2 linked regions of the Arabidopsis thaliana genome follow. The protein of the gene in region 2 interacts with the protein of the main gene of each other region in a pairwise test. Each region holds a gene or a part of one and is shown on either strand. Other genes may lie near its edges.

Region 1 (6,018 bases), on a different chromosome or scaffold from region 2:
TCATATTTGCTGCTGTAAATTTAAAATGACTTTTTTTCAATTTCTAATTTTCCCTTGATCATCTTACAAAAGGACTTATTATTAAATTCACATATGACAATATACATTTTACACACTAACTCACAACCACCACCACTAAAGAAAAAACTAATCAAGACAAAAGAAAAACAGATTAAAGAAAAAATCTAAAGATTCTCCTCCTTCCCTTTATCCAGACGCCAACTGCTTTCTTTTCTTTTCTTTTCCATAAAAAACGCTCACTAATTTCAAAAAGCACACCTATTTCCAATCTTTTTGATATATTATTAATCGTATTCGTATATTATATGGTTTATAAGATACGATCCGATATCTAGTGGGTGGAGTTTTAGCCTTTTACGCTATGAGATACACCTCATGGAGAAACTTGAGACTGATGAATCCACGGCGGCTCCGGCGAAAACCCTCGCGTGATCGCTTTCTTGACCGTAATCCATCATCGGACGATACTCCAGATCATCATCGTGATCGTATACAAACTCCGGCATCTCTATCTCATTCCTCCTCACATGTTCCCACAGATAATCAACTCTGCTTATGTACCTCAGCTTCCCGTACAACCTACCGCAGCCAATCACCACACCAATTAATTAATCAACGTTTTTCTAAAAAAAACTATAGTATCAAGAAAAGTCGTTGACCAGAAAATTAAAAAACGCGGCGGTTAGTTACTCACCCGCCGGAAAATAGAAATCGGCCGCAGGTGGCGAGGAAGAGACGTGATTGAAGACCTGGATGGAGGAAGTAAACCTCCTGAAGATTGTCTCTGACGTTTACCGGAATTGCGTCGTAGATCGCTCGTAGAGCTGAGATACCTGGGAAGTTCTCGCTTCTCTGTACGCCGGTGTGGACGTAGAGTACGGCGAATGGTTTTCTACCTAATCGAGGAAATATCTTCTCCTCTAGATACTTCTTCAACACATCCAGTGACAGAAATCGAGCTGATTTCAGAAACAAAAAAAACTCAAATATAAGAACAAATCTACACAGAGAGAAAAAGAAACAGATCCGATTGATATATCAGTACCTGGGAAGAATTTTCCGATAATACGAAGGATCTTACGGCCACGTTTGTCTCTGCCATGGATCTTGAAGATCTCAAGCTTCTCGATCAGCTGCTCTTGTTCAATCTCCGAAATCTGAGAACTCATCGTTTCTCTCTCTCTCTCTCTCTTTTTTGTTTCGTCGGTGAAATTCACAGTTGAATTATAGAAGAAGAAGGGAACAAAAATTGAGGCGAGTGAAGAAGAAGATGATGATCATTTTAAAAAGGGAAAGACAAAAAAATAAAAAAAATAGTGTATTAATTGGAGGGTAATGGGAGAAACGACGGGCTCTTACGAATATTCTATAGCATCTTCCTTTTTATCATGATCTTCCTCACCTCTTTGTGGGTCCTACATTCCAATAATTATTACCTTTTTCGCCCTCTCTTGATCTTTCGTTGTTAAGCAACTAATCTGGTCCATCCGTTTTTGCTACATCTAACGGCTACTGCCTTTTTTGACTCTTTTCCCGCCCCCCGCCTTAAGCGTTACGTCTCATCACATGATTCATGTAGATTATTGGATAAGATGGGCGTTATTTTGGATCATCCCATCCGATGTTGAGTTAAACTAATCTGAGCTTACAAATTATTAAAGATTATAAAGATCTCTATGTTCATATCTATCCAATGCCCAATGGAATCTTTTAAAAAATATAAGGAAAAACATTATCTTCTGCATATTAAACGGATAATAACAGCGAAACTTGTGGATGGATCATTACAATAGAAAAATACCGAGGAGGCACATTCAAGGAAGGTATTCAATAGGGCACCAAATATTGTAAACGTAATTCTCTAAGTTTCCCATACATCATATATCTGCTACTACTCTACACGCATATATATACAAAATACATGTGTGACTCTCTTATATAGACCATACTTTTAGACATTATACTTACATAAAGCCAGTACTAGATGGCTGTAGATTCTCGAATTAATAGTACCCTAACATTCTTTGGAAGAACCTATGAATCTTTCAATTATAAAATAGTGATGCTCTGGTGTAGGCTAAGTGATACAGATGAAGTTGTAACCTCCTATGGCAACAATAAGCACTTTCATTACTTGAATTTGTATAGAACACCCTATAGCTATCAGGAGGATCAAGTAAACAACATTTACGGATTCACCTTAATATTTTCTGCACCAATACAAAATTTACTGAAGTTGATTGGTCTCATTTGCCTGATCAAGGCTGAATCCAGTCATCTCCGCTAGTTCAGCGAGTTCTATTTCTCCGCTTAAGACCTAATTTATAAAAGAGGTGAAATAGGTACTGACATGTGATGAAATGTACAAGGGGTTCAGAGGATTTACTCACCTTATCATTTATTATCCATGTTGGGAATCCTTCGATCGCAGCATCTGCACATGCCTTGAGTATCTTAGTTCCTTTCTTATATCCATCCGGAAAACATTCCACGTAGTTCAGTTCTTTTGCCGCTTCTCTTCCAAACATCTGTAGATGGATGGAACTATAATGAACATATAATAAAAGCATAAAACTGATTCTTGGCAAACAGGTGATGAATGAACTAACTACCTCTTTTTGCTCTAAGCAGTGAGAACACCAGAATGCCCCATACATTTTAGCTCCAATGGAGTTTAGATGTTTTGCTAAAGCAATAGCATAAGGGCTCGATGATGAACTGATCTCTGTTCTAAAATATGGCAGTTCAATGTCACCAGAGCTGGAAGGAGTGAAACAAAAAACGATCGGGATTAAAAGAGACCACCTGATAAGACTCATACATCTTTCGGAAGCTATTTGTTCACTACTCGTTACAAATGACTAAAATTTCTATCGGGACTCCCCAAAGAAAACTATGAACTTTGATTACCGTGAAGGGATTGGTTGAGCAGTACTGTAAGAAGCAGTCAAGGAGGCAACTACTATGATTGCTAAGCATATCTGCAATCCTACAACTTGCTGTATTTCTTGCAACTTCACATCCTACCACATGCATGGAGCACATTATCATAATCCGAAGTTTAGAAGTTATCTTGAGTCAACATCAGGAAAAAAAAAGAAATGGAAATAAAGGGATACCTTTACAGAGAGGAAAAATAGACTAAATGATAAGAAAGCAGACACCAGACAATACAGGCATGATGATCCTGAGAGTTTTGTGCTAAGGATATACAGGAAATATGCACTAGCAGATGCCATTGCAGTCGTGATCCCAAATAACGCGAAACGCCCATTGCTCTTACTGATTCCAAAAGGTAGATTCCCTTCCCCAAGCTCTGCACTTAGAGCGGTTACTACGCCATACATAACAAATCCAATCACTGGAAGAGGAACACCTGGCAAAATGTAAAAAAGGATTTTCATTGAGTTCAACTTACCTGCAATGCAATGTTGGACAAACAACGAAGACAAAGCACTACATAGAGTGGAGTGAAGCATGCTATTTAACTCTAACAATTCTATGCATACTAAGTACCAAAGCTCCTAAATGATATAGCTTCAAGCAAAGATTCACAGAGACTATCACATGCGAGTATTTAATCATGCCTACTATAAAAGAGAGGACAATTAGCTACATAAATCAAACGCTATAATCAATAAAGCGATGGATAATACCGAAAACGACGGCATAATCGCTGTTGAGGACATCACCGCAAGTGCCACCACCAATAGGGCAAAACGCATCGGAGCCAGTGACCTTGAGGTAAGTCAAATACGCAGTGTCTAACATCCCAATACCGCCGATTCCGGTGTACCAGTTGTATGTCGAACTGTTACTAGTAGATACTTCACTTGTAGACGATGAGGAGGAGGAAGACAGCGACGGTGCCGAATCCTCACCGTTTTCCGGCTCAGATGAAGAACATTTAATCGGAATCGCAGGAAATCTCCGATCAGAGACCTAATTCAGAACATCTGACTTCAAATGACCGATCACACACTACTGTCACTGAAGAAAACACATGACAAGAATTTACCTCGAATCGTCTAGGATAAGAAGTTACCGACGGAGGAGAAACCTCACGGAAGCCGAAATGAAACTGACAAGACGACACAGAAACAAACCTCGCCATCATCGTCGTCGAAGAATCGCTATTCCACCATTGTTAACTTCATCATCTTCTCTCCTCCGCTCCACTATCTCAGCCACTTGTTTCAATATTGGGCCTAAACGAGGCCCAAATACGATAATTTGGATCCATAATTAGTTTATCACAATTGGGCCTTACGGTCTTCTTATCCGTCCGAGTCAGCAAGTTATCCTCTTCAACACGACTCACGAGGCACCGAGTTGGACTTATCATGATTCATTATCTACGCATTGTTTACATTTTGGAATCGACTTTGGTACATAATTGAATTTATCCATAGAAATGATAGAGACTCGAAGATCGGACATAAAACTTGCTGACGTGACACCCATACCTTTGTGTCTGTATGTATTATATAAACGCTATAGAACTAAGAGAAGAAGTATCTAAGTAGCATCAAAGCATTCTAAAAGAAGTTTCAAAGAAGAAGTGAAAATGGAAACCACTGCTTTTAACACAACATCACGAATTGGAAACTGGTCATCGGCTATTTCTCCACCTCTACAAACATGTGGATCTTTCAAGTGCCAATTACCAACACGAAGAGGTGTTATTGTAGCTGATCTTCGAAACTCAAACTTCCGATGGTAAGCTAGCAATCAACGACGAGAATCGCCTTCTCTATCTGATTTTAGATTATGAATAAATATTAAATCTGAGTATTAACTTCTTGCTCAAGGAGGAAAGCAACGACAACAAGCAGAGGAAATGTTGCAGCAGAGGCAGTTAAAATTCCTACGTCAGTACCAGTAAGAGTGGCGCGTGAGCTAGCTCAAGCAGGATACCGCTATCTCGACGTGAGGACACCAGACGAATTCAGCATCGGACATCCGACTAGAGCCATCAACGTACCTTACATGTACAGAGTCGGATCAGGTTTTCATCACCGACCTTAAGGTTCCTCTTATGAGAAAGAGTGAAAATGAAAAACAACTTAAAACTAACACCAAGCCAAAACCGTTGCAGGAATGGTTAAGAACCCGAGTTTTCTAAGACAGGTCTCGTCCCACTTCAGGAAACACGATGAAATCATAATCGTAAGTTTCAGTTTTGACATTCAGAGACTAAATAAACCCCTATGAAGACAATCCCTTGTTTCACAAAATCTCTGATGCACGTAATAAACTACTTCTGCAGGGTTGTGAGAGCGGTCAAATGTCATTTATGGCCTCAACTGATCTTCTCACTGCTGTATGTGTGTAATATCACTTCAATTTATATAGCCGTTATCCGGTTTAGGACAAGCGGGTTTAATGTCGCCACATGTACAGGGCTTCACGGCGATCACAGACATTGCTGGAGGATACGTCGCTTGGACAGAGAATGAGCTGCCGGTAGAAGAGTGAAAACAATCATAGCCATATCACCTCCTGTAATTATCAATAAATTCTGTAGATGTTCTCAACGCAAGTATCAATCATCATTATTATTCTCTAAAACATAGTTTAACTGTCAAATCTATATTGGGTGAAAGCTTTACCGAACTTCGAACACCACAAAGTTTACGGACCAATTAAGGACGGGGATGCATGCCTACACACGTTTAGTTTTCGCCGTTTTAAAATTTTAATACTTAAACTAATTTTTAAATGATAATAGTGAAATTAACATTATTTTAGTTAAAAATTATTAATTACTTTCTTAAAATTTAAGTTTTAAATTGGTTTTAAATTATTATTCTTTAAGTTTAAGTGTTAAATTTATAAAATGATAGAAAAACATATTTATACATGGACAAGATCAAACCGAAAGGAACCGAAACTAATATTATGAAAACTAATATCAATCTCAACACAGGTGTTTCTGTATCTGAATCGTTTACGATCAGTTAATATGATTACTTGCTTTGATTAACAAAGAAATCC
Region 2 (7,418 bases):
TTGTAAAATAAAAAAAAAATGTTTTCTTTTTTTAATGAAACTCAAAGGATATAATGAAAATTTATATGGTCAAGAGATGAACTTCCACTCAAGTTAATGAATTAGGTCACTTTTCTTGCATCAAACAAACCTTTTTTCATTATGATTTGATCCACATATATAACCTTTCGGATGGCTTAGGGCACAACTTACTCTAATTCAAGTATTTGATGGTTCCCACTTCACTTGGTTCACAAACATTTACAGTTAGTAATCTATACTCAGATTTAACTTGTTATTCCTAATTACATTTTCCTATCTGGCAAATTAACAATATAGATAAACTATTTATCTATCATCAAAAATTGATTGCCAGAAGAAAAAAAGGCTAATTAAAAGAAACGTCAACTTTTTGTTTGGTAGTTAAAGTTTTGTGACTTTTGTCTATAGTATATCTAGTACGGTCTAATTAACATAATCATAAGATAAAAACGATATACAGAATTTGAAATTTGAACAATGTCATGCTATAAGGAAAAGTGTGTTAAGAAAAAAAGTGAGGTTACTAGCTAATATACGATTTTTGTCCACAAGCATAAATAGAGGTAAGCGTTAAGTGTTCCTTTTTGGGAGATGTAACACAATCAACAGTTAAGTTGACTTTTTCAACCTTTTCTAGGGTTTGTGGCCTGTAGGTTCATTGCGTTAACCCAATAACTTCTTATTCTTCTCATTTTTGTTCTTGCTACTATCATCACCATTTTGATGTTAGTAGTCTCACCACTGTTTTCACCTTTTTTTGATAATTGTTTTGTGATATATAAAAAAAATCGATATCTACGTGATATTCTTATTTTAAAAAGTTATATTGATAAGAGCTTTACATATTTTCATTGTCATAAACAGAACCAACCATCTTAGTCATGGTCATCATCATTGTCATAGTCATCATCATCACCATTACGACTAATATTATACATGGACCATAACAGTTTCCACCACATTAACTTGACCGTTTATAAAATGGGAACTAACCTTCCCCATCTTCTCATATGAAAATCCATTTTGTCCTCATTTTCCATTGATTAGTTGCATTCTCTCCCCTAAACGAACAAAGAGTAATCATCAAAAACCATATAATATGCCTCTTAGGATTGAACCCCTATCTCTACTCTTCCTCATTCTCATTATATGCTCTTCATCATTAGGTAAACATATAATTGATATTCATATATTCCATCCTTTTCAATTTATAGTCTTTTAACTTTGTTTTAAGGGATGACTATCAACCTTGCGTCCCAACACATCCATCTTAGTCCGAGATCAGCTTTTGGTATTATCTTGTTGAACATTAGTCTTTTCTTCGTTGTTGAATCTAGTGCCTTAAACTACCTTAATACCATTGATTATTAATTACTATTATATTGGTGAACACTTTTTCCATTCTTTCTCCAAAATTAAAACACATCTAACTAACTAGTATGGGTTGAAATAAATAAGTCACTTAAAGAACAATGTATATTCCGCTAACAGAGTGTTTTCTTTTAGCCATAGTGGAAGGCTCTATCCAGCTCGACGGTGCGAAGATGCATGAGAGTTCCATGCTTTACAAGGTATACATCATACATGTAGATGCTTTACGTTTATATATGTTCTTATCAACATTAGAAATGTTGTTAATGTCCAAATATTGACAAGAATTTATGTGTTTATAATTAAAAAGAGTGAGGAGGTGGGTGTGAAGAAGATGGGTCATAGGAAGTTGATGTTCCACTCGACAGCGGACTACGACGACGCAGGACCCAACCCTAAACACGACCCAAGGAGAAGGCCCGGAGGCAAGGGTTGAATCATCAACACAGAACTATCTCTGTCATTATATATATAGTAGCATATATATAAGCACATGCACTAATATCTATATATCATATATGAATATGTATGTGATGTATCCTCCATTCTGACTCTTTTTGTTTGAGGATGAGCTCAGTGTAAAATACCCTTCGGAAACCCGCTAGTGAAAGGATTAGTGTCTAATAACAAGACATAATAAATCCTTATTTATTATCATCTTATTTCATTGACATATATAATATAGCCATTATATCCTGTGTAATCGTTATATCAGAAAATAAATAAAGTGTTATGGTTATTTTTAGTTCTGTATAGTATTATTATAAATGCGTCTTCTACAATATTTCACATTAGTTGATGATTTCAATCTTATGCAGTCAAACACATAGTAAAAAACTCTTTATCAGCATGATCACTAAACGAAAAAGAAATGAAGACAGATTTTATGCTTATCATAGCTAAAACCTTATATGTCGCTATTACAATAACATAGTACAAATGAAACAAGATTGCAATGGTTGATTTAAAAAAAGAAAATATAAAACTAAAATGAAAAAACAAATATAAAATTAAAACAGTTGCGCATCCAGGGAATCGAACCCTGGTCAGTACCGTGGGAGGGTACTATGATACCACTACACCAGATGCGCTTTTATTCATTGTCTCTTCTCTTACATATTTATAGCGAAGACTAGTTACTATGGTTATACATATTTCACAAGCATACATAAAATTCACATACTAACACTTAAATATGTCTATGTAAATTATTGAAGAGAAACAGAGAAAACGCCTTTTGTTTGGTTACAGAATTTACAAGAATCGATTATACAACCTCTCATAACTCTCTTGACTCCTATCCTTCAACCTTTACTTAGTTTCATACATCTTTGTGTCAACAAATCTTAAATCTTACATATATAATACATTCAAATCAAAACCTTCTCTCTTCTCTATCGGCATCCCAACACAAGTCTTCCTTCTTCGTTTATGGACTCATTCCTACATATTTTCTGAAGGTCTATGTAACCAATGATAGTGTCCTCAAAGACCACATCCTCCAAATTTGCCTCCTCAAATGTCGAACCGGATAATACCGTGTTCCTAAACACCGCACCTTTCAGATTCGATTTCCCGAAATTCACCCGATCGATAACAGCATTAGTGAAATTCACCCCTAGAAAAGAATTCACACTAAAACATTAATTAACATTTTGGTCCATAATTTTACCATATGCTTTCAAATTTCAAGATTTAAGTCTATATACCTTTAAAGCTTGCTTCTACAGCATAAGCTTTTGACATAACAACTTCAGTCATATCTGCACCATCAAACTTAGCCCCAACCATCAAGGCTGCAGAGAGAGTCTTGCCTTTGAGATTAGTTTGATCATTTGTGTAATCACAGAACCTAAGATCCAGTGGTTTGTCATAGACACCATTTGCTTGACCTATCGTGTTACCAACAAATGCTTTTTCACACCGGTCTGGTTCTGTTGATAACGGAGGAAGTCTCTGAAAAAAACAATCCATTTATCCATTTCTTTAAATTCTAAAACATAGCCATCTTCAGACACAAACATAGAAAAGAGAAAGGGCCATATAATGTGACAGACCTGGTTAGCAGCAATAACAGGAGAAGCTATTGTAAGAGTGCAAGCACAGAGAGCTGCGCAAGCGATAGATCCAAGCTCCTTAAGAGGAAAGAGACTCTTCTTTACACCTTCACCATTTTCTCTGTTTTCTCCTGCTGAGAACATAATGCAAATCAAGATCACATACACTACTTTAGCTTCACTTTAAAAGCAAGATTTTGACATAACAATATTCATAAACCCATCTATAAAGATGAATTCATTGAAGGTAAAGCTAAAGATTCTTGAAAATACTTAGAAATTTCGAAGAACCGTACAACCAAGAAGAAGTAGCAGAGAGATCTTGAAAAACCAATTAAAGCAGAGAGAAAAAAGATGACATTTACCGGAGCAGTGTACTGTTACTAAAGATCTAGGCTCACGGCGGAGGTTTACAGAGAAAAACGGTGAAGAGATTTGATTCCTCGTGAATTGAACAGGAAGCGAAGCCATGGAAGTGTGTTTCAGATTTTTGTTCGAACTTGGACAACCATAGAGTTTTATCAATTCGTTATGGATCATGCCTATGACGTGGCATGACAGATCATAATATCAGACTATATACGATTTAGCCCATTGGGCCTGATTACTATTTGGTCCATTTGTAAATCTTTCATCGGTTTTGGATATAATATCAAGTAGTGCAGCCCATCGGTTAAACATCTACAGTATATTATTGATGACTTCTAACCCACGCAAAATATATGATTTACCATGCTAAATACGTAATTAATAGCTTAATAGTAAATATTTTATTTTATATATTTTTATTTATGTTAAAATAAAATTTATATTTGTATTTATTACATTAAAAACGATTTTAAATAATAAATGATTATATTTATTTTGTGTAAGCTAATAAAAGATATTAAAAAAATTGATTAGTATGAGAACATCTTCTACAAATGTAAGGTTATCTTATAAGATACACTCGGAATATTATTAGTAAGATTTTTGTTTCCATAGTCTATCGGATCCTTCTAGGTCAATTAAAAGTTAAAACCCTAGAGCACAAAACCATCATTCATGATTGCACACACTAATTTGTTTGACACAACAATTTCCTAACATTCAACCACAAACTCTTACCTTATCTCGATTTGGTCAATCAGAAAATTTTCAGATTCATTGATCATCATTTACTATGTGTTCTCATATATTTGCGATTTCTTTTACTGCTTAGTCAAAGAGTGGGTAAATCGCCAAGACAAGTTTCAACAATTCTTGTAATTCATGTTACACCACAAACTCTAGTTTTTTTTAACTGTATGTACTTGGAAGAAAACAAGTTTTACTCTGTACAAAATTTACAGCTACAAATCTCCGGAGCCTCTCTTTGAGGTGGAGAGCTCTTACAATCTATTGATTTGTCTCTTATAATAAGTGGAAATCAAATCTAGAACAAAGCTATATAACAAACTCATCTACACGTTAGAGACTCAAATTACACATAATCAACGAATCAATAATCACTACGTTAGAAATTTATCAATACAAAATCCTAAATTGAAAAAAGGATCTTAGGAGAAGGCATTGGAAGATCTTTCTTGTGGAAGTAACGTCAACATCTTTCTCCTTCAACCACTCCTTTACATGATCACTACTTTGCCTCTCTTGGTTTTGGACCCTACAATAATCGCCTGTCAATTTTCAGACAAATCCGTACTGTCTAAAAACCATCTCCAACCGCCACTAATTGCCAAAAACAGAAACATCTGTTCCTTATCATCTCCTGCGTCTACATCAACCGATTGAAACCTCTCCCACTGACCACTTCTTCAAAGATTTTTCTACAAGATGATGATAAATCTTGAGGAGAAGTAACAGAATTGTATCACTTTTTGACTAATTGATGTATCTCCAGAGATCTTAGAGTGGATCTGGTTTTGGACCCACCATTGCTTCATGATCTGCTAGAACCATGTGCTTGTGCCTATCAAGATAGGAACAATGGCATCTGATTTGTTTTCCAAAGTTGGGAAAACGAAACAGGTTTTTTCAAGTAGTCACAGGCAACCCGTAGTTCTGAAATGTTCTTATCTGTCCATCCCAACCACCTGTGACTATGACCATACCCCAAGATAGAGAGCTGGATGCTCTCTGGTAAGAGGACTTGAGAAACTTGTAATGAGATGCATTCATCGCGGATGTGGACAGAGGATTTGCGGGTAGGTTTTCCTCTGGCCATGTCGCACTCCCTTTGGATATTGATCCGGGGACAAATCCTTCGTTGTGAGATAAGCATGATGGAGAAGAAAACGGGAGAGTTGTGTTGTGATCTGAGAATCCACACCATGTTGCTGCAACTGATGCATTGGCGGAGAAACGTTCAAAAGATCGAATCTTTTTGGTTTCTGATTCCTCATCATTGCTCCATATATATACATTGGAGTCCTCACAAGCTGAAACAATGTGTTTTCCATCAGATGTGAGAGATGCTGATGTGAGGCTTCTCGTCTTGCAAACGCCTAAAGATTGAAAAAACAGAGATGGGATTAGTTTAGAATCAATAATAGAGCTATGCAAAAGAAAATGAAAGTTGAAGGAGACATAAAAAGAAACATACCTTTGTATTTTCTGACGACATTGTTGCCTTGGAGAATTCTGACTTTGGAATCCGCGGAAACAACCAGGACTTTAGTCGGTTCTTGTGGTAAGAACTGGAAAAAGCAAGTACGATTTGTTAACATCTCACAAATTTCAAGAGAAGTAAACGAAGTATCTAGAGAAAGGGAAAGACATAGGAGACATTACCTGAAAACCAGTTATGCGTTTATTTGAAGACTTCTTTTTGTTATGCAAATGTATCTGAGAGTCCAGTTCTAAAAATTCTCCAGACATGTTAAAGAATCTGCAACTCCCGTTCAGAGAACCGATGATTCCACCTTGTCCATCCGGACGATAACACACTGCCGATATAATGTCTTTGAGATCTGCCCAATCAACAACGCTGCAACCGGAAATGTTCCAAATTCGAACCTTTCCATCAATTGAACCACTCATGAAATAATTCTCATTTACCGGGTTGAACTGAACAGAGGTTACTGCAAAAAGAAAGTTGCAGGCAACAGGTAATGTAAGATCAATGTAGTAACTGAAAAAGAAAAAGAGATCTAGAAACCAAAAAGAAGAAGAAGCATACCATAACTATTGTGAGCGAAAACTCCAAGACAATCATTGCTACCAACTTTCCAAAGGCGGACAGTTTTATCCATTGACGCCGAAAGCAAATACTACACCAAGAAATTACATAACAAAATGCCTCAGTTTTTCGCTTCCGTTAAAGCAATGGTTGCAAGTTAATATAAGAAAATGCAAAAGATTTTGGAGGCTTACATTATCTTTTGACCATGAGATGTCCAAGACTTCACCCGTGTGCCCACGGAATTCATATAATGGTTTTTCCATAATCCGAAAAACTTTAGGAGGGAAGACAACACAGGCTGAATCAGATGTTTTCCTGAAACTTTCTGTAGTCTTCTTTGGTTTCTCCTCATTTACCAAAACTGGTTTCAACTGAGAAAGATCATTTACCTCAAAGTACATACACGAAGGATCTATCTCGTTAAGGCAATCCCTTCGTAGTCTAGATTTCTTATCCTCAACGACTTTCCACACCCTCACAATCCCATCTTCACCAGAGCTTGCAAGAAACTTCCCATCGTTGCTAAATTTCATCGCCAAGATGGCACCATCATGAGCTTTAATGTCTTGACTCTGATAAAGAGCTGAAAGCTCCTTTGCCTGCTTCTTACAATGCTTAACCTTAACTCTTGAAATCACATCACCATAACCAGAAGAAGCTCTCATTCTACCACCAGATTCGATATTTGTATCCGCGGTACATCCCATAGACCGAAGCCTCGATAACCATCCCTTCTTAAAACTCGTGACTAGCCCTGCGATATTCCTCTGCTTCTCGGTTTCCTTCACTTGGCAATATCTGGAACT

What was found. The genes of interacting proteins can lie anywhere in the genome.
Region 1: the proteins of AT5G53490 (region 2) and LTO1 interact in a two-hybrid assay, tested with the Arabidopsis thaliana proteins (one study listed by BioGRID).

Annotation. Positions count from the first base shown.
Region 1 is NC_003075.7:16,940,485-16,946,502, forward strand, and holds LTO1 (NAD(P)H dehydrogenase (quinone)s), read right to left. Parts: upstream 4,194-6,018; 5' UTR 4,139-4,193; coding exon 4,040-4,138; intron 3,964-4,039; coding exon 3,678-3,963; intron 3,398-3,677; coding exon 3,141-3,397; intron 3,045-3,140; coding exon 2,932-3,044; intron 2,782-2,931; coding exon 2,634-2,781; intron 2,550-2,633; coding exon 2,310-2,549; coding exon of another isoform or gene 2,249-2,309; 3' UTR 1,547-2,248; downstream 1-1,546. Other genes in the region: AT4G35750 (SEC14 cytosolic factor family protein / phosphoglyceride transfer family protein), read right to left, coding at 381-600, 716-980, 1,067-1,190; SEN1 (Rhodanese/Cell cycle control phosphatase superfamily protein), read left to right, coding at 4,589-4,740, 4,833-5,029, 5,120-5,190, 5,291-5,344, 5,425-5,499. UniProt on the Arabidopsis thaliana protein: Thiol-disulfide oxidoreductase catalyzing disulfide bond formation of chloroplast proteins and involved in redox regulation and photosynthetic electron transport.
Region 2 is NC_003076.8:21,720,702-21,728,119, forward strand, and holds AT5G53490 (Tetratricopeptide repeat (TPR)-like superfamily protein), read right to left. Parts: upstream 4,001-7,418; 5' UTR 3,990-4,000; coding exon 3,815-3,989; intron 3,626-3,814; coding exon of another isoform or gene 3,584-3,625; coding exon 3,450-3,583; intron 3,349-3,449; coding exon 3,102-3,348; intron 3,011-3,101; coding exon 2,787-3,010; 3' UTR 2,534-2,786; downstream 1-2,533. Other genes in the region: AT5G53486 (uncharacterized protein), read left to right, coding at 1,121-1,187, 1,256-1,312, 1,528-1,592, 1,703-1,828; AT5G53500 (Transducin/WD40 repeat-like superfamily protein), read right to left, coding at 5,466-5,935, 6,034-6,127, 6,222-6,511, 6,610-6,700, 6,804-7,418.